Canis lupus familiaris: one gene and its partners. The main gene of each other region encodes a partner of the protein of the gene in region 3 in a complex. Links are inferred from orthologs where the notes say so. Each region holds a gene or a part of one and is shown on either strand. Other genes may lie near its edges. The genes, in order: PPIH, LSM7, SNRNP200, PLRG1, SNRPD2, LSM6 and LSM5.

Region 1 (3,500 bases), on a different chromosome or scaffold from region 3:
CTAGAAGTCCATCAATGATCTTTCCTGTAGGAAGAATAAGAGCTAGACTTTATTATTCTCATTTGCGTAGCACTTTCCAGCTTCTGATGCCCACTGTTAGCCATCATCTCATTTGACCCTCCTCCTACCATCAGAAAATTGGGACCTGATGGAAGTGAAATGATTTGCCCAAGGTCACAGGTAAGAGGTTACAGAGCGCTAGGTCTGAGCGACTGCAGAGCCCTACCATACCATGCTGCCTCCGCATGGCGTTTCTTCAGTGATACCATCTGGGTTTCCCTCCCAGACACACAGATCAGCCAAGTGGTCACACACTCTATCACACAGCCCCTCCGCCCTTCCCTTTAGTGCTCCAAGCACATGTCCTCCCCACCTCCCACCACCTCCACCTTCCCAGACCAGTTATATCAGCTGAGCCCTCTTGGGCTTAGAGCCTGGGGACTGGCTCCTTTGGAAGTCCCACTCCGTGTGAATGGGGCCTGGACTCTGGGACAGGAATAGCACTCACCAAACACTACGTGCTTCCCATCCAGCCAATCACATTTAGAACAGGTGATGAAGAACTGGCAGCCATTTGTACTGGGACCACTGTTTGCCTGACAGAAACCAAGTACATCTCCAGTGAGTTTTCCCGGCCACGCTAGCCGAAGGATAAGATTCCCAAAAGAGCCTGTAGCCTTGATTCCTTTCTTTCAGCAAACCTTACTGAATATCTACTATAAGCCAGGTCTCCAGAGCTAGGATCCAAGGACATAAACAGGATACATAATCACTGCCCTCAAGGAGCTAGATCCTTGAATCAAGGCACAGTTCTCCTGCAGTGTGAATTTGTATGTATGTATTTATTTATTTATTTAGTGTGAATTTTTAAAGTGGGAACAACTGTTCATGGGACCTGATTTGCTGTATTTAATCCAATATTGGTTATACCTGGATTATAGTTACAAATTAGATACCACTGAGAAAAAGCCTGTTGCCTATGCCATAAGCTCTTTTGTCTGAATAGCTTTGTACTGCACCGTGACAACGGTAATAAATGCCTTTAAGAAAATGCAAGAAATTGCTAAGCTGGTGCCATGCTAGAAAAAGACTACATTTAATCAATGATGTTTGCTTTTTACAGCTACACCCAAAATCCTTATTGAATTTTACAGGAGCAAGAATTTTTTAAATTGAGAATCTGAAAGTCTCTACCTGTATCCTCCCTTGAAAAAAATTTTTTTTTTTAATTTTATTTATTTATGATAGAGAGAGAGAGAGGCAGAGACACAGGCAGAGGGAGGAGCAGGCTCCATGCACTGGGAGCCCGACGTGGGATTCGATCTCGGGTCTCCAGGATCGCGCCCTGGGCCAAAGGCAGGCGCTAAACCGCTGTGCCACCCAGGGATCCCCTGAAATTATTTCTATATCATTACATTTCATAATGTGTTATAAAAGAAGAGGCTATTATTACGTACGATGCAGAGGGATAATTTCTAGGGTGATATTTGACTTTCTAATGAAGTGTACTTTTGTACTTTACATGCTAGTATCCCCAAATTGCCTTTAATACACTAAATTCAGGCTTTTGTACATCGACAAGTTACCTTTCAGTAGCACTGCCTTGCAACAAGGTCTATGTGAACATTTTATTGCATACTTCTTTTGTTTTGGAAAAAAGGAGTAGAAAGTGGAAAACAGAGTACTATTAAAAGCACAGGTCTCGTAAGATTAACATGACGGAGACAGGACTGGAAATAATGACATAGGCCACTAGCAGTAATTGGACGCTGCGTGGATTTAAATTGGTTAATTCTGTGCTCAGCTGTGTAGGGATAAAAGTGTGTATGAAATACATTCACAACACTGTCTAGGGGAACGTGCTCACTACCTCACTGAGGATTTTTAGTTATACTTAGAAATGCCCCACGTAAGATGAGGCTACTTTTGGGTTTTGTGCGTGTATTTAGAACAGCTCATTGCACGAAAGCAAGGGAATGCCTAAGCCAGTCACAGAGGGCACACATTGTGCAATGAGGGACAGACTTCTCAGGGCTCCCAAATCTCTGCTTCCTTCTTTCCACCTAACAACCAACCAGTCAATCAATCTACCTTGCTGCTTGGCGTATGAACATTTATTAGCAAACAAACCAGAGAACCATCATATACATTTTTATAGCTCAGGAGACGCTCTCTGTCCTCAGCCACTCATTAATTCATTCTCAGGCAGGTCTGCTTACTGCTTTCGAGAATAAGCTCTGGAGCCAGATGATGACCTAGCTGGAATCCCAGCTCCACCACAGACTGTGTGACCTTAGTTTAGTCACATACCCTCTCTGGGCCTCGGGATCCTCATTTATACCTATCTCAAAGGTATGCTGAGAGGATTAAAATGAATTAATGCAAATACAGTGCTTTTTGAGCAATTGGCCAATAAATGTTAGCCATCATGCTGATGATCTTTTGGTCATTCATCGGTATCTGCTCCACGCCTTTCTGTCTCAAGTAGTAGGGCTTCAAGACCACTGAGGCCCAGTCCCTGCCCTTAAGGAACTTACGATTTAGAGGAGGATGGAAACAAAAACAGTTCTGCACATGATTTGTGATAGCACAACTTCACCAGTGTCAGCTTGAGGGAGCAGACACGGTTTCCTTCCATTTCTCTGACTCCTCCATAGATGCTAACATAGGGGCATGCCCATAGAGGGTTCCAGCCCTCCTAGCAAAGATCCAAGCCCACCTAAGCTCCTCCTGCAGCATTTACCCGTGATTACCCAGCCTGGCTTTCCAAAAATGGGGCTTGCACAGTTTGCTGGTCTGGTCTTGCCCAATTCTCATGGTAGCATCCTGACTAGCTTCCCTGCGCTCACCTCCATATTCCCATCTGCCACTCACCCCGCAGCCAGGAGCTTCATCCTAAATCACAAAGTTTATTGACCCTGTTCAAAAAAGCGTATGGCTCTCCATAAACTATGCAAGAAACTCCAGACACTTCATCTTTACTTTCATTTAAAACCCTTAAGGAGCTAGACCCACCTGCCTCTCCAGGGGTCTCTACTGGCCCTTCCCTCTCCCATTCATAAGAGATGTTCTCATCCTTCCTCACCTTCAGCCCCTTGACTGCCACCCTGCTATTTCACACCACCTTCCTCTGAAGCCTGACCCCTGAAGTACTTACTCTCATGCTACGGGGCCCTCCCAGTACTTTTACATACCCGGGGGAGCCCTTATCTCAACAGGCAGTAGTGTGAATTATACTACACTGGGCTTGTCATTTTGCATGAGTATTGCCCCATTAGATGTTAAGTGTCAGAAGGGCAGGGATCAGGTCTGTACCAGAGCACCGTACACCCGTCTGAAACAGACTGGGTGTCGGAAAACCTTCACTTGATGAATGCCTGCCTAAATAAGTGGAAGGTTATGCAAGTGAGCACAGAGCGGGTGCCTGGAAATACTAGATCAGGGAGAGCAAGACTAGAGACCCTGCCAGGGAAATGGGTGATGAGGGAAAGCAGGGAGGG
Region 2 (4,123 bases), on a different chromosome or scaffold from region 3:
GCGCATGCGCAGAGGAGCGGCGCCTACACGGCCAGAGGGACGCGCCCCAAAGCCCTGCCCCTCCGGCCTTCAGGCCTCCCGGCCCAGGCACAGCTGGCGAAGCAGGGGTGCCCCCACCACGCTCCACCGCGCTGCTGTAGTGTCTGCGGGGAGTACGGGGCTGGACGGGACCGACAGCTCTGCGCACCACGGCGTGGGGGCCCAACCCGGCCTGCTGCGCTCCTGTGAGCAGCTTCACCGGCTCAGGGCGCCTTCACGCCTCCAGCCGTGACCGAGATCGCCTGGCTCTGTGCCTTCCTCTCTCCCCGACTGACCTCCCCTCCGCCCGCAAGACAAAGGTCCCGAGGACACTTCCCCGACGAGCTTATGGGCAGCGGGCACTGTGGCCGCACCTGCGGGTCTGCCCTCCTCCGTGGGGCACGAGCAGAGTTCTAAAATGGGGCTGACCCCGGTGACCACCCAGTGGAACCCCTCCCCTCAAGTGTGGGAGGGAACCTGTGAATAGGACGGGATGCCACTCCTGCCATTAGGTTACAGGAGGATAAAGACGAAGGAACGGGCACGTGTGATTACGGTCCCAGAATCAGTGCCCTCTCAGCTCACCTAAAGAGATTCTGCTCGGCCGGCCTGACCTAATCAGATGAGCTCAGGGGAACAGGAACTGTGTCAAAAAATTCAAAGCATGAGAGGGATCTTCCCACTGGCCTTGAGGGAGCAAACTGCCATGCTGTGGACAGTGCTGTGGCCAGGGCCGGCGGGCAGCCTCTAGGACACCTGTAGCAGAGCTCGGGGACCCTGGTCCTACAGGGGTAGGACCCTCGCAGGGGACCAAACCCTGCCCACAACCAACAGGGCGTCTGAGACACTCCTTTAGTGCAACCTGAGCCCCTGAGCCCAAGGCACCCAGACTCCTCCTGACAAACACCACAAGATAATAAATTCATGTTGCGTAAGCTGCTAACGTGGTGGCAACTTGCTACACAGCGTAGAAAACCCATATGAGCACCCTGAGAAACGAGAGCTGTGTCTCCTTCACGGGTCCCAGAGCCAGCACGGCGCAGACAGAGCAAACATCTGTTCGGGTTCAAGTTCTCACCACTGCTGGCTACCTAGACTTGCAGGCACCGCGCTGTTAACCACGCCGATGCTACCCAATCGTCCACATCTCCGGGAGAAAGGATCTGGGTCACTGTCTCATGAAACACAACGAAAGCAAAGAGGCAGCTGAAGAAATGAAATGTTGCTCAAGTGCTTGCTTGTGTCAGAAACCACATCGAAGGTGCCTCCAACCCTGTGATCCTCACCACCGCCCGGTGAGGTGGGGGGAGTGAAGAAATGGAGCCCTGGGGGGCGGGGTGAGCTGCCCGAAGTCCCACAGCCAGTGCGCCAAAGAGCTGTGGCTCTGACTCCAGCTGCCTGGTGCTAGGACCCCAGAGGCCACACTGCCTACACGCACCAGCAACACTGGGCCCAGCTCCTGCCCTCCTCACTATTCCAGGGGAAAGATGCAGAGGTCGGTGTCGTGTTTACTGCGTAAAGCGGGGAACGGTGACAGACGGTACCAGGAGCTGACACCAAAGGCGTGGGGCCCAGGGTGGAGGATCAGGGAAGGCTTCCTGGAACAAGAATCCTGAGCTGAGAGCAGAAAAATGACTGTGGAGTTAACCTGGAGTTAGAAAGAGAGACTCCCAACGGCGTCACTCGTGCCAAGCCCCGGCCACCCCACCGCGGCCTCATACCTAACCTGGCCGCACCTGCAGCTCTCCCAGGAATGCAATCTCCACCAGTCAGCCTGGAACTTCCAGGTCAGCCCTCCCGAGCTAGTCTTCCTGAAAGAACCCCCAGCATCCCCCAGAGGAGGGGGACCCTGCCGGAAGCGATCCAGCGTCTGCTCCTGCACCCTCTGCCTACGAAACCCTCTGGGGCTCTGCGCCGTCTCCTAGGTGGGGTGCTCCCTGGCTCGTGAATAGTGGGAGAAAGCTCCCGAGATCTTTGAAATTCATTCACCCAGAGAAGCCTTGTGTTTTAAGCCTGGTAAGAGCCCAGCAGGCGGGTGCACGTCACAGCCTGGTGGCAGCTGAGAGCTCCGCAAGGCTGCCCCTTCCCCGGGAGGGACCGGGCGGCCCAGAGGAGGGCCCACCTGTGTTTAACAGGCCCCTCTGGACCATCCTTGACACCGGGCCGCGGCTCGGCAAGGGAGATGCCTGGTTGGGGTGCCCAAGCTAAGGCATGTCCTGGCATCTGGCGGCATCCGGGGGTTGGCTGCTCCCCTCCCCCCAGCGCCCCGACAGCCCCGAACAATCTGGCTGGCGTCAGGGTCACGAGTGCGGAGCCCAAGGAGCCGGGGCGGGGGTCAGTGACCAGCGGGGACCAGCGGGGGCGGCTGCCTCGGAGCGAGGACCCCGCCTGCGCCTCGGCCGCTTCGGGGTGTCTGCAGCTCCTCCCGTGCCTCAGTTTCCCCGCGTGCACGGCGTCGGACGGAGGCCGTCGCGAGTCCTCCCAGCAAAGCGCTCCGGCCTGCGCCCGGGCATCCGCCACCCTGCTCGCCTCCCGGAGCCGTCGACGGGGAGCGGGCGGCGGGGCGGGCGGCGGGCGGCGGGGGGCTCTCACCTTCGCGGCCTCCCTGAAACTTCACCCGAATCGTCTTGTCGATGTACTTCGACAAGTCCAAGATGCTCTCTTTTTTCTTCTTCTCTTTGTCCTGCGGGGGAAGCAGAGCGCGTGAGGCGCAGAGCGCGGCCGGGTCCCACGCCGCCCGCCCAGCCGGCCCCGCCGCGCGCTCACCGCCATCTTGCCGCCGCGCGCCGCTCTGCGCAGGCGCCGCCGCGCGCCCTTTGACCCCGCCCCCGTGCGCAGGCGCGGAGCGCACACGGCGCAGGCGCGGCGGGGCGCGCCGGGGCGTTGCTGGGAAACATCTGCCGACGCCTGCGGCTCGACCCGGCTGACATGGCGGCGGCGGCGGCGCTGGCGCGGCTCGCGGCGGCCTTCCTGCTCCTCGCGACCCAGGTGAGGCTGCGTCGGCCCCGCCGGCCCCGCCGGCTGCGGCGCCCGGTCCCTCCGCCCCGGGCCCCGCGCCCCGCGGGAGCCCCGCCCGGCCTGGCCTGGGGGCCAGCCTCGGGTCTGCTCGCCCCCCGCGCGGTGGCCCGCGGGCCGGGAGCCGGGCCGTGACCTTGCGGGCCGGCCCCCCCCGGAGCCCTCCCCAGCCGCAGCGTCGCCCAGTTGCGCCTGGGTCTGAAGTCCGGGAGGCCCCCCGGCTCCCCAGGCCCTGCTCCGTCCCGAGGCCCCCGGCCGCCGCCGGGGACGCCCCCCGCCTGGCCCCCAGCCTCAGTTTCCCCTTCCGCGCGAGGTTAGCGCCCACCCGCGTGGTTGCGGTAAGCCGTCCGGCGTGGCCCCCGGTTCCCCACAGGGAGCGGCCGAGAGCCCGCGTCCCGAGTGGGGTCCAACCGCCGCCCCGTGTTCTGTTGCGTGACCTTGGGCAAGGGAGGCCCCAGCTTCGGGCGTCAGTTGCTCATCTGCAAAAGGAAGACGTCAGTGAGGACTCGGCGGTGATGCTCATGGGGTGACAGCTGCAGCGTGCTCCTCCTCGGGCAGCTGGGGTCAGAGGTCTCCGGGCCAGCGGGGGGCCTGCTGCCAGCCGGGGGGTGGACATCCTCCTAAGCGCACTTTGTATTTGCAGGTCCTCCCTCCCCGGTTCCCTGGGTGATGCAGCTCAGGGAGTGGTGTCCCATTAACCTTGAGCTGCCCGCCGCAGGTCCCCATCTCTCTCCTGTAGCCTCCGGTGGCCACTTGCGTCTCACACACCCCCCAGTCCATGGGCGGCACAGCAGGAGGGATGTCTCTGAAAGTGTGTCAGGTCTGGTTGCATCCAGATGAGAGCCGCCCCTCGGCTTCCAGCGCGTGTGGGAGGCCTCTGTGGTTGGGCGGCTTGGGACGCTTCCCCTCCTGTTCCTAGTTTGCTGAAGGCGCTCCGCCTCCGTCTGGTCTTCCCCGTTTCCCCGGAATGCCCCTGGTCATCCTTCCTAGTTCTTCCCTGCCCCCACCCCCCTCCGGAGAGGCTCCCTGGGAGGCCCCGTCCCCCGCTGTTTGCCAGGCCCTGCTCCATCATCTTCCTCAGCACTCTCTC
Region 3 (3,500 bases):
AATTTTTTAAACCACTAGTTTGTGAAATTAAACATTACAATGTTTCTGATTTCTGCTTTCAGTCCTCAATTATTCTCATATAAAGATCAGATTTTCTTTTTGGTCATAAAGTAGTAAGTAACTGAAAATGGAGTTAAGTGGTAGTGAGAAAGGAGAAGATCCACCACATAGAAAAGCCCAACTATCTTGGAACCATTTAAAGACAAATTCATGGGATGCTTAGGTGGCTCAGCAGTTGGGCATCTGCCTTTAAATCGGCATGATCCCGGAGTTCCGGGATCGATTCCCGCATCAGGCTCTCTGCATGGAGCCTGCTGCTCCCTCTGCCTATGTCTCTGCCTCTCTCTCTCTCTCTCTGTTTCTCATGAATAAATAAATAAAATCTAAAAAAAAAAAAAAACAAATTCATGAGGCGCCTGGGTGGCTCAGTGAAGTCCTTGCCTTCTGCTCAGGTCATGATCCTGGGGTCCTGGGATCAAGCCCCACATTGGGCTTCCTACTCAGCAGCGTGGCACCCTCTCCCTCCCCACACCACTGGTGCTCTCTCAAATAAATTATAAAAATCTTTAAAAAAAGACAAATTCATCTTAACATTCATAGAGATTGACAATACTGTGTAACTGGTGTTTTTCACAATGACCACTCACCTAAATTGTTTTATTTTTTTATTTTATTTTTTTCCTAAATTGTTTTATTTTTTTTTAAACTTCCTGGCTTTTTTTTTTTTTAATAAGATTTATTTATTTATTCATTCAGAGAGACCGAAGAGAGAGGCAGAGACACAGGCAGAGGGAGAAGCAGGCTCCATGCAGGAAGCCCGATGTGGGACTCGATCCCGGGTCTCCAGGATCACACCCCGGGCTGCAGGCAGCGCTAAACCGTTGCACCACCGGAGCTGCCCCCTAAATTGTTTTAAAGCAAAAAAAAAAAAAAAAAAAAAAAAACCCAAATAACCACCAATAGCCCCAAGATTAAATTCTCAGCCTTGTGTCTTGTCATTACTCTAAATTTCCCTCCCGAAGTGACAATGTAACCTTGAACTCTGGATCTAGTGGATGGATAAGTCTTCCAAAAGAAACTTCATCCTGGTACTTAAACATGGAGTTCATTTGAGATGCCTTTTGTGGTTTTTTGTTTTGTTTGTTTATTTTTGAGATGCCTTTTGACAATTTAGTTTCAATTAGCTAGCTAGGGATCCCCAGGTGGCTCAGTGGTTTAGTGCCAGCATTCAGCCCAGGGCCTGATCCTGGAGACCCAGGATCGAGTCCCACGTCAGGCTCCCTGCATGGAACCTGCTTCTCCCTCTGCCTGTGTCTCTGCCTCTCTCTCTGTGTCTCTCATGAATAAATAAATAAAATCCTTAAATAAAATAAAAATTAAAATCTAAATCAATAAATAAATAATTAGCTCTGTCAAACTATCTTCTAGAAGGAAATTTCAGGAAGTTTTCCATCCATCAGTTTTCTTTCTGTCCAGCTCCTAGGACCTACCTGTGGAAAGAGAGGTGCGATCACAGGGCCTGTGACCTCCTCTTCCCGCTCCAGCTGTACCAGCACCACAACCGGCCCACCACTGTAGGGGACAAGAGGGGGGAGCGCATCAGCACCGAGGTAGTGCGGTGGGATGGCCCTGTCACTGTGTGCCCAGCAGGGACCCTGGGGCAGGGCGCCCGGCCAGCCCTGGCTCACCTGCGGATGCTGTCCTTATCCACCACTTCGTAAGAAAGCTCAATATTAGGGTAGCGGTTGCAGAAGCGGGCCACATCAGCGATCTGGCTGTCAGACAGCTGAAGCAATGCATTTCGCTCTTCATCTTCCATCTCCATGATGTCAAAAACACTCTCCACTCCCTGCAGGGGTATTCAGAGGTCAGGGAAGGAGAACACAGAGTAACAGCAAATGGAATTTGGCTCGACAGCTGCTAATCTTACTTCCTATACCATCAGAGCATCCATACACAGCTTCAGAAAGAACACAGCCCACAACTGTACAACTGTCAGGCTCTCTAGCATCTCAATATGTAACACCCTCAGAGAAATTAGAACTCCCCCCTGCTCTGACTCACCCTTCCCCAAACACAACCCCCCCACCCCCCAAATCCCAGGACACCTGTCTCAGCCATCCAACCATCCAGGTCCAGACCCAACTCACCTTGTCTGTGCAACGTTTAATATGCTCTGAAGTGAAGTGTGGCAGCTGTTTCAGGTAGGAGTCCTTGGACCACATGGCTTGGGTTACCATCTGGGCCAGTTCCATAGCTGCCAAAGCAGGGCTAAGCCACCCATTGCTGGAGAGGACATCCACGCAGGCCTGAATGAGCCTGATTGCCTGAACCAGGATAGGAGTGCAAGAGAAGGAAAGGTTGGAACTGCTACTTCACAGGCCACCACCAGCCCCTCCACTCCATACCCACACCTGCACCCACACCATACCTTGCTAAGAATTTCCTCTGTATCTGACTGCAGCTCAGCACTCAGCTGCATGCGGGACAGGTGAGCTTGCAGAAGCAGGTTGGTCTTGACGTGTGGGTCATTGAACTTAGGGTTATTCAGCTTGTGGGGGACCTTCTGAGCCAACTGGAGAGTGGAAGAAAAATAAAGAGCTGGTAATGGACAAGTGACCCTCCCCAAGAACAGCTCTCAGGCCCAAAGTACCACCCGCTGCCGCAAGCTCACAACCCTTAAAAACAGAGAAGTGTGAGTGATGTGTTGGGGTCTTCCTGTGGTGGCAGAAACACGGCATGCTCTGGGCACACAGGCTAAGTTTCAACTCTAAAGATGTGGTCCCGAATCCACGATGTCCTCCTCACCTGTCGCAGGAGGTTATCTTCATGGTGCCGGATGGGAATGTTCTCATACTCTGCCGCATTGGAGATGATCTCGATAAGCCCTCGCACCTTGGTCTTGGCATTCAGGGACATGCTGAAGAGCTCTGACAGCCAAAGGTAAGGAGAAAGGGGAGGAGTCAGAAGCAGGTAGAAAAGGAGGAGGGAGGAAAGTTAACTGCCTGGGCTACCCTACCCCTGTACTACCCCACAATACATCCCTCTAATGAACACACAGGGTGCTAGAAGCCCTGTGCCCTCTCACCCACTGGGCTGCAGGCCCCTGCATGAGACTCCTTTAGCTTGGGCTCCCCAGACACCAGCCCCTGCCGGCCCCTCACCAATGGTGGTGTAGTTGATGTAATAGTAAGCAGCAATCATGCCCAGGTTCAGGGGTGCCACATCCATCTCGTCTTCAATGCTGATGCACTTGGACTGCTCCAAGTCACTCAGGGTCTGCTCCACGAGTTCTGACAAGTGGTCAGACAGGTGACGATGGGAGATGCCTGTAACGGTGAGAGAGAAGTAGGGAGTCACCAGGAGATGGCCGGCAAGGGCCATGAGAACCACAAAAGGATACTGTGCACTCCACAGTCCACTGACCCTGCAGGTTGTAGTAATTGGGGTTCTGTGTCATGCGGCGGTACAGAAAGGTCCAGGTCAGGTAGTCCACGGCA
Region 4 (4,290 bases), on a different chromosome or scaffold from region 3:
TTTCATTTTGAAAATTCACATGTAAGTCCTGACATTTCTGATAATACATCCTCACCTTGATTGGCAGGATACTGCTTATGACCATACGAATCCGATGCATTCTGAGGACATTTCTCTTTAAAATTTTCTTTCGAAGTAGGCATGTGCAACACAGGACCATACTCATTACGCAGCTTGATTGCCATTTTCCGTTTGTGACTATTTAAAAATTATGAACATAAGAATGTATCTTTGAGTGCTTTAAATATATTAGCCAAAAGAAATATAGACAGCCAAGAACACAAGTACTTAAATAGCTTAGGTTTGCCTAATCATGTAGAAAAAATTCTATGAAGTTTTTAAAGTTAAATAGTATTTTAAAAAGCTTGGAATTTCCAAGTGCATTTCCACACTTTTTTTGTTCCCAATCCACCACAGAGCATCCATTAAGTCTAAGTAGCATTTTAATTTGTTAACCAATAAATATATAACCTTTCATGATAAATTACCAAGGGTCTGATTTAAAAACATATAGAAACTAATATATCCTTTTAAAAACCTCAGTCAATACACTTTCCTTCAAATGTGTCAATATAAAAACACAGTAAAAGCTTCTATCATAACCTTTACTGGATGTATCTAAAAAGACCAATTAGAACTAATCAAAGTAGTTAATTAGTTCAATATTTTTTAAAGAAATGCACTTATATTAGTCTTAAGAACAGCTCACTTAATAAATTAAATATAAATGCTTGTCTTAGGAATTAAGTAGATTTTAAAAGAAGGGTAAAGGACAAAGAAGGAACACTGCACATAATGCAATCCCAGACTGGAGCTGGAGATGTAGAACCAAAAATATGCCACCACTCAAAAATCTTCATCATACTAACGAGAAAAGATGGGAGTAGAGGTACTGGCCAGGTACAATTTCAGCTCAGCAAGGCTCTGAGAGCAGCGGGAAGCTGAAAGCACATACAAAGTGATTGATTATAAAATAAAACACCTAAAAGGGACTCTCCTAATTACTGGGTATTTATAAATGCAATTAATTAATGGGACTTTTTATTGTGAAAGACAAGGCCAAAAAAAGTTAAATCAGCTTAAATCATGCCCAAACACCATTCATTACCGAATAGACATCCTACGAGTGTTAGTATCACTCACTAAGCTTTAAAGGTCCCCCTCTCCCTGCTCTCTTCCCCCAACATTAGAAGTTACATATTCCAGTAACTGAAAAGGAACAATACCTACCTCTCTTCATCCAAAGGCACAGGTTTTCCGTTATCAGCTACAAACATGTCATGGGTTCTCTTCAATGACCTGAACACAAGTGTGTGCACAGAATGTTTCTGTACCTCCTAAAAAGAAAGAACAGAATCACATATCTAGCTACAAATGACACATACCACAACCTAAATTAAGTCAAAGCAGCCATACACTTTACACATTTAAATATGTAAAAAGCTTTGTACCACTCACCACAGCTATTTGTAGCAAGCGATAGAAGAAGTCAAGGTCAGAGAGGAGGAGGAAGCTCCTCAATGGCCAGAGCCCCAGGTATACCAATTAGTGATGCCTGAGCTTAGCCATTGATTCGAACAAGTATTTACTGAGTTCCTACTATGTGTCTGGCAGGCACTGTGCTAGAAGCTAACAAAAGAATGATGACAAGGCAGCCATGGTCCCAGTGCTCAAGAGAAAACGAAAAATAAGCAACAAATCTTTGATAAGTGCTATGAAGGAAGCAAGCCAAGAAAGAACCTAGGATAGTTATGAAAGATCTCTCTGAGGTATTCCTTAGGCAGAAATTCAGCCTCGTGCAGAGCAGAGGTGAGAACAATCCAGGCAGAGAGGAAATGCCAGGTACACAGGGGTTTGGTGGCTGCAATGATGGCCGGAGCTGCAAGAGAACTGTGCATGTTCCACTGGAAGGTGGACTGTGAGGCTGGGATGAGGTTGCAAGGGTAGACAAGGTGCAGATTAGGTTAAGGATTCTTTTTTTTTAAAGGATCACTGCAACAGTCTGCACTTTTGCTCTAGTGACATCTGGCCAGCGAAGGATTTTAAGCAGAAAAAAACGCGATCAACGTATATCTTAAACAGATCAATTTTGCAGAGGGCGAAGAAATGGAAGCGAGAACACCAGCAGGGAGCTAAGGCACTCGTGCAGACGAAGGATGACGCCGGATCTGAATTAAGGCGAAGGCAGTGGGTCTGGACAAGGCTCCAGAAGTATTTCTGAGATGAGACGGGCAAGGCTGGCTAACAGTTTGATGCAAAACTTCAAAATGGCAGGTCTTCCTGGGGGCAGAGCTGGAGGAAGACCGCCCGCCTCAGGACACACAGCCCCTGACGCTGCTCTGCAGGCGGGGACCCCGCGGGGCCGGACGCGGCGCCTCCGGGGGCCCGGCCGAGACCCGACGCTCAAGAGCCAAATACGGACCGTGGAAACTCAGTCGGGCTTCGCGGCCGCGGGTAACGTCCAGCCAGGGCTCCCACCCGGCCTTCCTCTGCCCCTGAAAACCTTCAGAGACCACCCGGCCTCGGCCAGACAGCCCCCCTCCGCAGCCTTCACCATCCCCAAACCGCGAACACCCCCCCACGCCCGCCGCCAAGGAAAAACACCGCGGAAGCCAACGACCCCTCAGCACCAAGCGCCACCTTACCTCGACCATGATGCTGCCGTGCGACTCGCCGCTCCAACAGACAAGGGACACCAGCCCGCAACACAGAAGCCGCCGCCGCCGCCGCCGCCGCGCAGCCCTTCCGGAATCGAGCGCCCTGGCGCCGGAAGTGGGGCCTCCGCGCAGGCGCGGTAGCCGCCCGGCGGCCTTCTGGGATCGAGGGGCGGGGCTTTCTCCAGAGGGGCGTGGCCTCGGCGAGGTGGGCGGGGCTCAGCGGCGTCCCGGAGGAGGTCTTGGAAGAGCCTTCGGCTCGGACTTAAGTAGTTCGGTTCAGGGGTGTGGTTGTTTGCGCTGTGCCTCCCCAAGCTTAATCCTTTAATTTTATTTTTTTTCCCAGCGAACCCAAGGAGTCCGTTCTAGGGAGGGTCTGGAGAGAGCGAATCCCGGTCCGCGTCCAGCTCCCCTGATTGACGTCTCGGCTCCCGCTGCGCCGCGGGGCTGCCCGGCCTGGAAGCCTCCGCGCGCTGCGGCCTCGGCTGCCGAGAGCACCTGCGCTGATGCTGTCCCGTTAACCCTTGGCGGCCGGATGTTGCGGAACACTTTGCATTTGAGAAAGTGTGCAAAGATCTTTGTTGTAGCCCTGTACGGCAAATCCCCACATTTATTTTTACGCTGCATAGATTTTTTTTTTTTTAAATCTCTCAAAACCGCACGATTTTCAGCCAGTCTGCTAATGAACGTGGTGGCGTCGACAGTATCAAAGGGCAGCTTTTCAAAGCTGGCGGAAGAAAGACACAACTGAAGACTCGAGCCACTTTTATTTATACACATCCTAGTGCCAAAATAGCAGTATTTTATATTGTCTTGTCTTAGGTAAAATGCAGTTTTCGATCAAGCCTGTCCCATTACTTTTCTATGCAAACAGGAGTTGAACATTTGTAAATCCGATAGGCAAATATTTCACTGGCCCTGCTTGTTCCTTAAGCTAATCAATTCCACTGATCTCAGCATACCGCATGGGCTTGGAGAGGGAAGAAGTCTTATTGAGGGACACCTGGGGGGCTCAGTGGGGGAGCATCTGCTTCGGCCCAGGACCCAGGATGTGACCCTGGGGTCCCTGATCATCGGGCTCCCTGCAGGGATGGAGCCTGCTTCTCCCTCTGCCTGTTTCTCTGCCTCTCTCTCTGTGTCTCTCATGAATAAATAAATAAAATCCTATCAAAAGTATATCAATGTGAATTGCTAATCTCATTGGATGTACATTGATTCTTAATTAATCAAAAACATTAAGGTCATGTTTCTACTTGAAAATACAATCGTGTTTGAATTTGAGTGAGTTTGGCCTACTGAGTTTCTGCAGCAGTAGCCACTGGTGGTGGGCCTCATAAAGAAATTCTATAATGGTGCAATATGTACTTGGGAACCTACATCATATTTTAACTTCCTCATAGATAGTGATAACTATACAAAAGAATACTATTTTTAAAGGTGATGAAATTATAGAAATGTAAACAAGATTCTAATATATCTATGGCAATATAATAACTGTCTAGTTGGGGCCTGTTAACATGTTAATCATCCAGGAAAGAATTGTATAAACCCAGACTCATCAAACATTGTAATAGTTGAGATAAATTACACTAGACTATGTTTCTTTTAAAAAGTTCTCTTGAATCTGTAGAATTAT
Region 5 (4,015 bases), on a different chromosome or scaffold from region 3:
CAAGTACCCTTCCTACAGAAATATTTAATCCTCACAACTGTTCTATGAGGGGTATTTTTATGACGCACAGTTTGCAGACAAGGACACTGAGGCCGAGAGAGGAAATAACACTTGCTGTTCCCTCTGGCTGAAACACTCAGACCCTGGCTTCCTCCTTCATTGTATTTAGGTCTGTTCATCACGGTCTCTTCCTATGGAACCCCTAGCGTTACCGTCTAGGACAACACCTCCTTCCCAGCACTCCACACTCTCACCTGCCTTTACTATTCTTATGACACATTGTTTGTGTGCTTGCTGTTGGTTTCCCTACCTATGGCATAAGCTCTCTTAAGTATAGGAGTCCTCTTTCAGTCATTGCTGTGTCTCTGGAGCCTAAAAAAAGTACTGGGCATGGTACTTTATTTTTTTCTTTTGGGGCATGGTACTTTATATCGTAACTGCAAAACCTGATTAATAAGAGCTTCCTGGTGCCAGATGCTGTACTTCTAATGACTGTATTACACATCACATGTATTAAGTCACTGAATCTCTGCAATCACCAGAATTACTGCCATTGAATGGAAGAGATAAAGTTACTTGTTGAAGGTTTCATGGCTGCTAAGAGGCAGAGTCGAGACACAAACCCAGGAAGCCTGGCTCCCAAGTACATGCCCATCACTACTGTACTGCACAGCTGGAAGGACAACAAGACACCATTGCACTTTGAGGTCTGAATATGCTTATGCCCCAGGACTCTGAAAACCTTGTATTTGGGTTCCTCACACTGGAACTGTGTCTGCATTTCCAAGACAGAACACCTTCCAGGACCCAGGTGCTTACCTGTCGAAAGCCTTCACACGGCCCAGGAGCTTCTTGTTGTTGCGGCAGTTGATAAGCACCTGGGTGTTGTTCTTGACTGACTGTGTGAGCACAGAGAGCGGACCCGTGTTAAACTCTTCCTCCTCCCGCTTCTGTAGCTCCTCTGGGGTCATCTCACTCTTGGGTTTGTTGAGGAGGCTCCTGAGGGGCAAGCATGGAACCCGTAGGTGAGAGGCCCAGAGCTAGAGCGTGGGTGGTCACATGATGTCTCCCCAACCCACCCACCCCCCTGCTCAGTCCCTCTTGCATGGCATCACCAGCTGGATGCTGAATAGACATTTCCAACCGTATACATCCTCAGTTGAGCTCCAGATCTCCCAATCACTCAAACCTACTCTTTCCACAGCCTTCCTCATCTCCATCATTCTAGTTCCTTGAGCAGAAACCCTGATATCAACTTGACTCTTCTCTCTCACATCCTACATTCAATGTCAGCAAATTCTGTCATCTGCCTCTAAAATATACCCAGAATCTGTTTCTTACCATGGCCTAAACCTCTATCATCTCTCTCCTGAGAGCCTTACTTGTCTCCCTACCTCAGCCCATGCCGCTGACCGTCTGTTCTCCACAGCAGTCCCAGAGGTTGTATCAAAATCTAAGTCATATCATTTCACTCTTCGAAACCCTCCCATGGCTCCCATCTCTGTGTAAAAAGTAAAACCCAAAGTTTTTACAATGCCTGGCATCTTCCCATCCTTCTCTGTTCCAGCCAGTGGCCTTGAAGGTGGTCCTTTAAGATATTAGGCAAGGGGCGCCTGGGTAGCTCAATGGCTGAGCATCTGCTTTCGGCTCAGATCCTGACCCAGGGGGAATCCCTGGGTGGCTCAGCGGTTTAGCGTCTGCCTTTGGCCCAGGGCACGATCCTGGAGTCCCGGGATCAAGTCCCACATCGGGCTCCCTGCATGGAGCCTGCTTCTCCCTCTGCCTGAGTCTCTGCCTCTCTCTCCCCCTATGTCTATCATGAATAAATAAATAAAATCTTAAAAAAAAAAAAAAAAAAAGATCCTGACCCAGGGATGCTGGGATCGAGTCCCACATCGGGCTCCCTGTGGGGATACTGCTTCTCTGTGTCTCTCACAAGTAAATAAAATCTTTAAAAAATATATAAGATATTAGACAGACTTTCACCTTGGGCATCTCCCTTCGTTTTCCCTCTGCCTGGATACCTCCCCAGGTATCTTTGTGGTTCTCAGGTTCTTCAGGTCTCTGCTCAACTGCTGCCTTCTCAATGTGTCCTGCACTGGTTATTGAGTTACTTTCTCTCAAAACTAGTACTCCCCATTGTTTGGATCCTGCTCTTTTGCTTCTTTACTCACTTAGCTCTGATCACCTAACACACGCCATACACTTTACATTTTTATCACCGGTGTGTTCATTGTCTGCCTTTTCCCACACCCATAAGCTGCAGCAGGGCATTTTTCTTGCGGGATGGGGGTCGCAGTCACTGATGTATCTCACGTAGTTAAAGCAGTGCCTAATACATGAGTGCTCAATAAATAATTGCTGAATGAATACCAAATCAGGAAAATCATTAAGGCGATTCGTGAGCCGAAAAAGTCGCGAATGAGGTGAACTTCTCCAGCTCAAATTGTCCGGGTAAGTCCCGTACCTCAAACCGTTATTTCTAAAACTCCGCACTCCCGTTTCCCAGGTTCTTTGCTTCCCCTTAAAATCCATTTCAGCGAGACTCATTATCGGGGAAATCCCGGCTCATTAACTGATCAAGTGCCTTCCCTCGAACTCAGGACCCGTAAAAGGCCCCATGCCCATCCTCAAACTCGTCAGAACGGTGCGTACTTTACCCCTAAAACCTCTGCCTCCGATCCCGCCTCGCCCACCACCGGCAAACGGCCACATCTACGCCCTCGACCCCACTCCCGCCGGGCCTCACATGGTGGTAGCGGCTGCGCTCGCAGATCAGCTCCGTCTTCCCCGCGTTGCTCCTGCCTCTGAAGAGAGGGCTACAGGCGGGACTTCCGTTTCCTGTGGCCGACTTCCGTCGGCGCCTGCGCAATCCCAACCTGCACGGTGTGGGCGAGGCCTGTTGCCGTGGCAATCCGCGCCGGCCCCGCGCAGACGTGGGGTAGAAGCACTGCGTAGTAGCTCAGGGTCTTTCAGGACCATATGGAGAGAAGACAATGGAGAGAAGAATAAAGCGGGTCCGACTCAAATCGTTTCGTTGTAGAGCGGCACAAGCTGAAGAAGGGACAGGACACGGCATTCCAAAAGCCCGCCGGCTCCGCCCTCGGGGGCGCGGCCTCCGTGTAGCCAATCGGCTCCTCGCTTCTGGGACGGGCACCGCCCCTTTTCCATCGGTGTCGGTTCGTTTACGTGTCTATTGATCTTTCCGACTTCGAGTAACCAATCCTTTGCCTTCCTACGGGAGGGGCGGAGACCTGCTCCTTGGTCCAACGTTTTTCAGGATCAAACATTGCTCATTGGCTTCCGTTCCTCCGTTGAGGCGGAGCCTCTCCCTTTCGCACTACCCTTTTGGGTTGTGCAACCCTCAGGGGAACCAACCCCAAAGCCCCAGGGAGACAGGAAGGCGTGTTCTCAGAGTGAGGGTCGCCATTGGTTTCACTGACCGAGGGTGGGTGGGATGGTGCAGCCGCTCTTCGTGTTTATTGGTTCGGTGATTCCATGGGGTGGGATTTGGCTGGGCCTAAACTATCCGCGGTCCGGGACCGGTTTCGGGGCGAAGCTGCCATGCCTTCCGGGGGCCGCGGGCGGTCCCGGCTACGGCTCGGGGAACGTGGCCTCTTGGAGCCGCCCTCCCCGCCCAAGCGCCGCCTGCTCCCGCGGGCGCACTTCTTGCCTCTGCTTCTGCTGGCCCTGGCCCTGGCTTCGGCGACCTACACCATCTGGAGCGGCTGGCACCACCAGACTGAGGAGCTGCCGCGGGGCCGGGAGCTGCGGGTGAGGCCCGGCAGGGGCACGGGCACCGCGGGAGCCCTCATTCCCCGCCTCCCCTTCCCTGAGGTCTCAGGTTGACGTGGCTGTGTCGTCTGGCCCAAGCTGCAGGTGCTGCGGTCTCCGTCGATAGAGCGCATGCCCGTTGCTAACGAACTGAGGCTTTGGGCTTGTTCTGTAATAGGTGGTTCTACCTAAGAGGGAGAGTCTGCAGTAGTAACACTGGGAATTCTGGGTTCCAATCTGA
Region 6 (4,247 bases), on a different chromosome or scaffold from region 3:
ACAGAGGGGGTACCTAGCCCTCTTCTGAAGGATTCATACCAATTCCTCCTCCCCATCCAGGAGAGGGCCACTTTCCTCCCCTCTCTCACTCCAGCCATGAATCCAGCACTCAGAGAGCACCCCTTCCCATTTAGCAGGCTGTTCTGCAGTTTTCCTGTTGATCAGTCTCCCACAGTAGGTTCTAAGCTTCTCAGAGACAGGGGAAAAGGAACCTAAGCTCACCGGCCAATCAATCCTGTGGGAGACATTTGAGGACAGTGCCAAGGAAAATCCCTGTCCCTTTCACCCCTACCCGCAAACTATGGGTATAGTGACTAGCACTGCATCATCTGTGCACTTAAATGGCTATACCACAGTCATATCTCTGCTACTGACCACCAAATAAAAGACAAAGAAAATAGAAATGTTTCTGTGTTGTACAAGAACCAGCTGCATCCGAGTCAACAGAGATGCTTGTTAAAATGCAGATTCCTGAAGTCTACTACTCCTAGTCAGACTCCCCAGGCAAGGGGACACCGTAACTGACATTTTATAAAGCTTCCCAAATGATTCCTGTAAGCAAATGCGGACATCTGGAGACATTCTGGACTGTCTTGAATGAGGAGGGTGGTGCTAGGACATAGAGGCCAAGGATGTTGCTTAACATTCTAAAAAGCACAGGACAGTGCTCCACAGCAAAGGATTATCCGGCCCAAAATGTCAACTGAGGTTGAAAAACTCTGTTATAAACCCTTTATCAAAAAACCATTGTTCTCTAGTATTCAAGCAACAAGGAGTTTTAAAAAACTTTCAAGGTATAACAAATGAGAACAAACAGCTCAATTCTAATCAGATGATCGAGTACAAATTCTAACTTTTAATTTTTTTTTAAATTCTAACTTTTTAGATACTTTATCCTGACATAAAGGGAATCTAAAAACAACTGTCAAGAAATCTTGAAGGGGGGGAAATCCTTGGGTGGCTCAGCGGTTTGGCGCCTGCCTTTGGTCCAGGGCGTGATCCTGGAGTCCTGGGATCGAGTCCCGCATCAGGCTCCCTGCATGGAGCCTGCTTCTCCCTCTGCCTCTCTCTCTCTCTCATGAATGAATAAATAAAATCTTTAAAAAAAAAAATCTTGAAGGGTTGCCATTTTAAGTAATGGATTTCTTAGTCCCAGTCCTGAAAATGGTCAATTTCCCAAGTGTTACACTTCCCTCAGATGACTAAAATCTCTGTTATTTCTAACAGGACAAAATAATTCAAGTGATGCCAAGATTTTTAAAAATGCTCATACAAGTATGCCACAGTTTAGTGAGAGACCACCCAATGCAGCATAAGGAGTACTCACTTGGGAGATGGGAAACCTGAATTCTAATCCCAGTTCTGCTACTTAATGTAGCTGTATACCTTGGAGAACTCATCATTTCACCTCTCAAGGCCCCAGGTTCCTCATCTGCAAAATAAGGGAGTTATGCTGGATGACCACTTAAGAGATCATCCTGCTCTAACATTGTCAGCCTATGCAGGAACTCCAGTAATACTTTTACACACACACACACACACACACACACACACAAACCCAAGATAATTCTCTAGACTCCTGCACAAAATTCAAGCAATTGGCATTATGAAACACCACCATAAAAAAAAAAAAAAAAAAAAAAAAAGTGAGGGTGACGTGTTAGAAATACATATTATGAGCTATCATACTTTTGGTGAAAACAGGCACAACCTTACATGAAATGCAAACTGCTAAAACTCTCCTGGAAAACAATTTGGCAAGGGGTATGTAGATCTGAAGAGACCTTACTGGGGCACAGCACCTATTGTAAAAATGTCCTTGCTCAGAATCAATCCAAGTGAATCATCCGAAATGCAGTTTTAAAAATAACGTTTATCAAAGTACTACCTGGGATGCTAGGATGAAACAAAAATTCGCAAACACCCTAAATGCCTCACAGTCGGGAAATGGCTGAATAATTTACGGGACCTACACAAGGACAGAACAGGTAGCCCACCAAAAGGCGCAAAACCAGAAATAACATTTAAGAGGCACTTTTCAATGAAAGCGGACAACTCTCTGTACTGTTAACGGAGGGCACAGGTAGTCGTAGCTCAAACAGGAAGTGGCACGTGCAAGAGTAAAGATGGAAGGGGTTCAGTGAATAGGGCTTCCTTCGCTAAGCGCTTCTGAGTCCAGGATCTCCACAGCCTGTGTCTCTGCGGCATTGGGGGGGGGGGGGGGCACCCTAAGGCCCCATCCCCTGCTCCGGCCGCGCGCGCTCATCCGCGGCAGCCCCGGCGCCAGGACTCGACGCCGTACCCTGCGGGCGCCCGCGGCCCGAGGCCCCAGGCCCCGGTAAGGTGGCCGCGGCGGCCCCGGAGCCCTCGGAACCCGGCGCGGCCCACGGGGCCCCGCGGCCCGCTCTCCCGCCCACCCGCCGGCGAGGACCCCGCCAGCAGCCCCGGTCCCGGTCCCGGAAGGCGAGTCGGCGGCGCGGGGAGGCTGCGGCGGGCGCCCGCGGGGTCCATCGCCCCTCCGGGGGGCTCTGGGCCGGGCCCCTGGGGTCCGCGCGGCCCGCCTCCCGGCTGCCGCTCCCCGCACCCACCCCGGGCCAGCGAACACCGGGGCCCCCGCCGCCCGCGCGGCCGCCCGGCTCACCTGGCGGCCGGGACCCAAACCCCCGCTCCAGGTGGCGCGCAGCTGCGGCCTCCGCCGAAGCCCGGGCGAAACCGAAAGTGAAACTGCCGGAGCGGGCGGCGCGCCTCTGCGGCCGCCGGGGAGCGCCCTTCCGGGCTACGGCAGCCTGCGGGGCCCAAGAAGGCCGCGCTTCGGCGGCGCGCGCCGAGCCGGGAGTCTCGTTTGGCCCGAAGGCAAAGTTGGGGCTTTGGCGGTCAGAGGAGAAAGAGCCGCTGCTGCTACCTCTTAGCAGAAAGCAAACACCCCTTAAAATACTTAAAACAAAACAAAGCCTGGAAGTGATCTTTTAGGCAGGATTTCCTTTAGGCAGAGATGCAAGAAATAGCTTGAAGTCCTACTAAACTGGAATTGACTACTAGGGTCATGACTATACAGGCTCGGAAAGGTCCTTGAAAAAGTTAATGCAAATAAATAAAGCAGGCATCCTCAAATCTTTAAATCCACTTTGGATTTTGATCGTGCGATGAAGTCATTATTAGCAAGAGATTGTTTCCATGGCAACGTAATTGCCACAAAAAGAATTAAAATCCCTAAAGTAGCTCCGTATTATAATGGTATGACTTGCGTTACATTACAATCTAGTTCTAATTGGAAATGGTATGCAGACATTATTTAAGTGCTGCTATGGGAACTTGGTTTGGAATTCTGCATGGATTCTCAATATTCTTGCTATTAGTGGAAAGGGCGAAGAAAAAGAAGTAAAGTGTTATACCAACACTTGATTCCTTTTTCTCCTCACACACATACCCTCAACTTAAAACCTATACTTTAATTCTGCTTGTGATTTGCAACACTCTAAACAAAGAAATAATATCTTTGGACAGATTCTTAACTCTTAAGTGTTACAGATCTAAGATGCAGGGTTTTTTCCCTAAGATCTACATGAGTTTCCCCTCTCGTAAACCTGTCTTAGCTGAAGAAAGAATCTTTGATTGATATGACGGCCAGAGAACAACTGGGTGTGATTTGGTGGTGAAAAGAGATTTCCTTATATCCTTCCATAAAAGCTCACTTTGGGTAAAAACCAAGCATTACAGATTTCTTGAAAAGGCTTTATTTGAAGCTCTTGCGGTATAAGATATAATGTGAAAAAAATTAAGTATCATTTAAATAAAATAATTAGCTGCAAAGAACAAACATAATCAGATATAAAGAAAACCCTGTCCCTAAAAAGCCTTCCTCACAAAAGACCTCAAATTGTACTATATTCCTCAGTGGTTGTTTCAGTGATTCATAAAAAATAATTTTTTGATTCATAGCCTTTTTCTCATTGCTATAGAGCCCTGGTGGAGTCATTAAGACGGGTGTGGTAGGCAGGAGGCAATGAGAAGTTTTAAGGGCATGGTTCATCTGCAGGCATAGTTGCTACCTCTTCCAAGAGGCATGGATCTCTGAGGGCCCCGCTGGACCAGTGCAGCAGGCACCATTGATAAACTACAATTATCAAAATGTAGTTGTGCCCAGAATCCCCCTCAGCAGCTTATAATTGGCTTTCAGTGATTCACAAGGCAACATTCCATGTTTCACAAGTTTTTCTTTAGCATTTTTTTCCCATCATCAATATTTA
Region 7 (4,149 bases), on a different chromosome or scaffold from region 3:
AGAAGGAAAAAGAGCTTATTAATACCACCACCACACCCATCATCTAAAAACCCCTTTTCACCCATCAAAGATACCTGGCCTCTTTGCTCCTCCCCCACATTCCCATTTTCTCCAGGTCATTGCTTCTGTTTATAATCCCAACATCGTCAATTAATACTTAGAGTCTAAACAATGATTCTTGGCAAACCAAAAGATTAAAAAGCCCAAGCAAACTAATCTTTAAGCCTATTGTCATGTTCAGTAGCTCAGCTTTAGAGCCCTGATCACAGGAGCATCTCATTCCCAACTTAAACCCACTGGGCCATGAACATTTATTTAACCAAGCCAAGTAATCTGTAATCTCTGCCTCACAAAAATGGGCTACATCTAAAAAAACGCCCAGCTTTACTGTACCTTACCATTGTTATATTATTTCCATTTAGCAAAATTTGATCTAATTTAGTGATCCTTCTTCCTTCTGGTGTGATTTCACTAAATGAAGAAATAAAAGAGTCAAGATAAACAATGATAATCAAAGCCAACATTCTGATCCCTAAAAAAGTTATTCTTATATTATATGAATATGAGGTTGAGCAATTATGTCAGTAGTTTTCAGAGACAAAGGTTATCCACTGGATGACCAAAGGCAACACAGTGAACTGACTGGCCTCAGATCCACATCCACTAGGATCAAAACTAAAAGAAGCTAAAACTGGCCAAAGAGATCAAATATGAAATGGAATGTTTACTAGCCTCACCTTTTTACTATTATTTACTACTAATCCCTTACCCATTAAACCAATCTGTAATCAACTCAATTTTGAAAGCAGACACTGGTTGTGATCTTTAAAACTAATATAATGGAGCTATCATTTATATCTTAAGTTTAATGCCTTGATTTGTCTGAGCACAAACATCCTTGGCTGTTTTTAGTATCTTTTATCTCAAAGCTCAGTCTCCACTAAGTCCCTACCAGTCATTAATAATAACATAATAATTACATCCGGTAATAACTGATCCAATTTTACCAGTGTCAGTAGATAAAATTTCTATCTTTAAGGTATTTCTGACAGGCAATGTTTTCTCATTAATCATTTTAAACTCATTAATACTAAAATTGACTTAAGGAGAGATTCCCCCCAATTCTTTAATTTTTAACACTACTCACAACTCAGTGACATCCTCCAGTACCATATCTGAAATTTGGTGTTAAGAAAAATACATATACCAGGTTGAATTTACTCTGGCTTCTATCTTTACTCCATTTTAATTACAACGTTTAATACAATGGCTCCAGAGCAAAATACTAGTAATCGGTAGGAACTTTATCTTTTTTCAGTACACACACCTCTTAAAACGCTATCAAGAGGTGAATAAATTTCTAATACAATAACCAGTTACGTACTGACTGTCCATATTCTTATTTCTGTTCTTAAGTACTGCAGGAAAACCCATACCACCACCACCTTTTGAAAGGATACTGACAAAGTCATCAAATCCCAAAAGTGTGCCAACAATTTCTTTATCACTCTTCATCACAATGTGAATTCTTGATCCTATACATTTGTCCACGAGCTCTATATATATATATATATATTTTTTTTTTTTAAAGAAAAAAAAAGAGGGGTGGGGGGGTGGAGAAAAAAAGATTATTTTACCTGTTCATTTCTTCAACAAATATTGGAATGCCTACTGGCACTTGTTAGTTACTTACTGTGAAAGATAAACCAGAGAAAGTATTCATTCAAAAACTTTAGAGATTTTACGGTACGTTATCTCTGTTGCATAAACAAAAACGTCCTGTTTACCACTTACCTCTCCTTTGTTGAAGTTTATCCATCACGGTTGTGGTTTAATGTTATTTTAAGTGATTTTGATTAACATACGAAATGCATAATTAATATATAATTAACATCTGAGCCCCCCCCACCCCCTGCAGCCCAGGTGGTTCAGCGGTTTAGCGCCTGCCTGCAGCCCAGGGCGTGATCCTGGGGTCCTAGGATCGAGTCCTGCATCGGGCTCCCTGCATGGAGGCTGCTTCTCCACCTCTCTGGGTGTCTCTCATGAATGAATAAAAATGTTTGTTTGATGTTTTTTTTTAAGAGTCTAAGCCCCATGAAACAACTGTGGTTGTTTTCCCAGGACTCTATCCTCAGTGGGCAATGTCTGGCACATAGCAAGCGTTCAAAAAGAGTTGGTGGAATCAAAGAATGAAAACTTCCAAAACAAGGCCACTTCCGATAACTCCATCAACTCTTTGGCTACAAAATATCGGAAGAGGCACAACCGTATCCACCAGAGATTTCTTCCTGTCACTATCTCTGTGTTCGGACCGCAGTTTGAACGCCTCGTTAGCTGGCTTCGTTATCACTCGGCGTGATGCTTACAGGTGGAGCGCTCTATCTCCTCCTGGTGTGTGTGCTATCCGCAGGCAGTGGGAGGCGTCTGAATTTGTCCAAGAGCGCCCAGCCCTCGTGCCTAGTGCAGAGAGGCTCCCGGGCGGCCCGGGGCCGCAGACACTCGGGAGCCGGCAGACGAGCCGCGGAGCACTGAGGCCCTTCATCCCCACATTTCCCTAACACTCGACCAAGGGCTACTTCAGCCGCAGCCGCCCGGGCCCCAACACTTAGCCTGAGCCCTCCGGTCCCCTTCTCCGCGATTACCTAGAGGCAGCAGCTGCGACGGGTTAGTGGTAGCGTTGGCCGCCATGGCTACGCCGGAAGTGGCCCGCCGGCCTCGCCGTCAGCCCGGCAAGTTTGAAAGAGCGCGCTTCCGCTCCCCCCGCCGGCCCGCGGCCCGGACAGGCTCGACCAATCGGAGGCCGAACTTGCGATCCAATCAGTCCGCAGGAGTCGCTCCTTCCCAATCGCTTCTTTCCCGGGCGCTGAGCTCTCGGGGAGAAGGTTCCGTCCGCTGCAGGTGGTGCGGTCTGGGCACGTAGCGGCTTTCCCCGGGCAGTTTCCGACAGACAGACGCTAAAGGGATCCTGCTTTGTGAATAAATCCTTCCTGCAACCCGGAAGGTTTTGCAAAATACGGAAATCTTTGAATCGTCTTATTTTCTGCTATGAAGTTGCACCTCATCTCAAGCCAGGATCTTTTTTCAGACCGAACCAAAAATTTTTTTTTTTTTTTTTTTTTTTGCCACTAATGCACTGTGTTGCAGTTTTTGTAAAAGCCGTTTTTCAAAGCATCTACTCCTAGAGCGCCCATGTGCCTCAGTGGGTTAAGCCTCAGACTAGATCTCAGCTCAGGTCTTGATCTCAGGATCCGCTGGTTGGGCTCCACGTTGGGTGCGGAGCCTATTTAAAGAAGAGAGAAAAAAGAATCTAGTGCTTCTTTTTAAAGTCCAGTGAATTGAAAACCCACAACCAGCATTTAAAAAGAAAAAAAACCTTCTACAGTGGAAATTTAAAACACATTTTATTTTTATGCCTACTACCTTATCATTCTTACCTTGTTGTAGCTAGGAGTCCAATTTATCACAGACTGTATCCACTTTCAACACTTAACTGTCTTGTCTTATAAGCAGCCACCAGATGTCACTGTCCGCTAATGTCATCACACAGGAAACCTTAAGGCTTTTTGTTTTTTTTTTGTTTTGTTTTGTTTTTTTAAATTTTTATTTATTTATGACAGTCACAGAGAGAGAGAGAGAAGCAGAGACACAGGCAGAGGGAGAAGCAGGCTCCATGCACCGGGAGCCCGACGTGGGATTCGATCCCGGGTATCCAGGATCACGCCCTGGGCCAAAGGCAGGCGCCAAACCGCTGCGCCACCCAGGGATCCCAGGCTTTTTGCACTTCTGTTTTGCAAAGAATAGAAAGCAAACAAATTCTCTGCCTTAAGTCTGTTTCATATTTGTATCCCAGGAACGTAAGGCTGACGAGTCTAAACAGGAGAGAGCAGAAAAAAACATCATTCATTCATACAACAGATAGTTGTAATACACACATCATTCATTCATGGAACAAATATGCATTAGCTACACACTATTTGGCATTTTGCTGAGTATAAAACTGTACAAAACAGAACTACAATGTCTTCTGCCCTTCTAGAAGCTTAAGGATGAATGGAAGAGAAAGCCTACTAACAAATATAATATACAAGGTATATGAAATTTAAAATATAAAAGACCTCTTAGTTTCAGGGATCCTAGAGAACTAGAGAT

The links.
Region 1: SNRNP200 (region 3) and PPIH share a complex: the UniProt entries of both Homo sapiens proteins name them as parts of the U4/U6-U5 tri-snRNP complex. The link is inferred for Canis lupus familiaris from reciprocal best matches to the Homo sapiens genes SNRNP200 and PPIH.
Region 2: SNRNP200 (region 3) and LSM7 share a complex: the UniProt entries of both Homo sapiens proteins name them as parts of the U4/U6-U5 tri-snRNP complex. The link is inferred for Canis lupus familiaris from reciprocal best matches to the Homo sapiens genes SNRNP200 and LSM7.
Region 4: SNRNP200 (region 3) and PLRG1 share a complex: the UniProt entries of both Homo sapiens proteins name them as parts of the minor spliceosome. The link is inferred for Canis lupus familiaris from reciprocal best matches to the Homo sapiens genes SNRNP200 and PLRG1.
Region 5: SNRNP200 (region 3) and SNRPD2 share a complex: the UniProt entries of both Homo sapiens proteins name them as parts of the U4/U6-U5 tri-snRNP complex. The link is inferred for Canis lupus familiaris from reciprocal best matches to the Homo sapiens genes SNRNP200 and SNRPD2.
Region 6: SNRNP200 (region 3) and LSM6 share a complex: the UniProt entries of both Homo sapiens proteins name them as parts of the U4/U6-U5 tri-snRNP complex. The link is inferred for Canis lupus familiaris from reciprocal best matches to the Homo sapiens genes SNRNP200 and LSM6.
Region 7: SNRNP200 (region 3) and LSM5 share a complex: the UniProt entries of both Homo sapiens proteins name them as parts of the U4/U6-U5 tri-snRNP complex. The link is inferred for Canis lupus familiaris from reciprocal best matches to the Homo sapiens genes SNRNP200 and LSM5.

What each region holds. Positions count from the first base shown.
Region 1 is NC_049236.1:747,011-750,510, forward strand, and holds part of PPIH (peptidyl-prolyl cis-trans isomerase H), read right to left. Parts: intron 597-3,500; coding exon 509-596; intron 25-508; coding exon 1-24. UniProt on the Homo sapiens protein: PPIase that catalyzes the cis-trans isomerization of proline imidic peptide bonds in oligopeptides and may therefore assist protein folding. Participates in pre-mRNA splicing.
Region 2 is NC_049241.1:57,200,201-57,204,323, reverse strand, and holds the start of LSM7 (U6 snRNA-associated Sm-like protein LSm7), read right to left. Parts: upstream 2,801-4,123; 5' UTR 2,791-2,800; coding exon 2,785-2,790; intron 2,702-2,784; coding exon 2,611-2,701; intron 1-2,610. Other genes in the region: SPPL2B (signal peptide peptidase-like 2B), read left to right, coding at 2,947-3,006. UniProt on the Homo sapiens protein: Plays a role in pre-mRNA splicing as component of the U4/U6-U5 tri-snRNP complex that is involved in spliceosome assembly, and as component of the precatalytic spliceosome (spliceosome B complex).
Region 3 is NC_049238.1:34,675,953-34,679,452, reverse strand, and holds part of SNRNP200 (U5 small nuclear ribonucleoprotein 200 kDa helicase), read right to left. Parts: coding exon 3,427-3,500; intron 3,330-3,426; coding exon 3,165-3,329; intron 2,931-3,164; coding exon 2,809-2,930; intron 2,576-2,808; coding exon 2,432-2,575; intron 2,328-2,431; coding exon 2,151-2,327; intron 1,850-2,150; coding exon 1,689-1,849; intron 1,573-1,688; coding exon 1,491-1,572; intron 1-1,490. UniProt on the Homo sapiens protein: Catalyzes the ATP-dependent unwinding of U4/U6 RNA duplices, an essential step in the assembly of a catalytically active spliceosome. Plays a role in pre-mRNA splicing as a core component of precatalytic, catalytic and postcatalytic spliceosomal complexes.
Region 4 is NC_049236.1:52,571,453-52,575,742, forward strand, and holds the start of PLRG1 (pleiotropic regulator 1), read right to left. Parts: upstream 2,801-4,290; 5' UTR 2,655-2,800; coding exon 2,646-2,654; intron 1,338-2,645; coding exon 1,231-1,337; intron 942-1,230; exon of another isoform or gene 870-941; intron 199-869; coding exon 56-198; intron 1-55. UniProt on the Homo sapiens protein: Involved in pre-mRNA splicing as component of the spliceosome. Component of the PRP19-CDC5L complex that forms an integral part of the spliceosome and is required for activating pre-mRNA splicing.
Region 5 is NC_049222.1:110,602,361-110,606,375, reverse strand, and holds the start of SNRPD2 (small nuclear ribonucleoprotein Sm D2), read right to left. Parts: upstream 2,801-4,015; 5' UTR 2,752-2,800; coding exon 2,750-2,751; intron 1,000-2,749; coding exon 820-999; intron 1-819. Other genes in the region: QPCTL (glutaminyl-peptide cyclotransferase-like protein), read left to right, coding at 3,499-3,774. UniProt on the Homo sapiens protein: Plays a role in pre-mRNA splicing as a core component of the spliceosomal U1, U2, U4 and U5 small nuclear ribonucleoproteins (snRNPs), the building blocks of the spliceosome.
Region 6 is NC_049236.1:44,949,699-44,953,945, reverse strand, and holds the start of LSM6 (U6 snRNA-associated Sm-like protein LSm6), read right to left. Parts: upstream 2,801-4,247; 5' UTR 2,642-2,800; intron 1,433-2,641; exon of another isoform or gene 1,328-1,432; intron 1-1,327. UniProt on the Homo sapiens protein: Plays a role in pre-mRNA splicing as component of the U4/U6-U5 tri-snRNP complex that is involved in spliceosome assembly, and as component of the precatalytic spliceosome (spliceosome B complex).
Region 7 is NC_049235.1:44,955,705-44,959,853, forward strand, and holds the start of LSM5 (U6 snRNA-associated Sm-like protein LSm5), read right to left. Parts: upstream 2,801-4,149; 5' UTR 2,689-2,800; coding exon 2,643-2,688; intron 1,557-2,642; coding exon 1,461-1,556; intron 1,176-1,460; coding exon 1,148-1,175; intron 472-1,147; coding exon 399-471; intron 1-398. UniProt on the Homo sapiens protein: Plays a role in pre-mRNA splicing as component of the U4/U6-U5 tri-snRNP complex that is involved in spliceosome assembly, and as component of the precatalytic spliceosome (spliceosome B complex).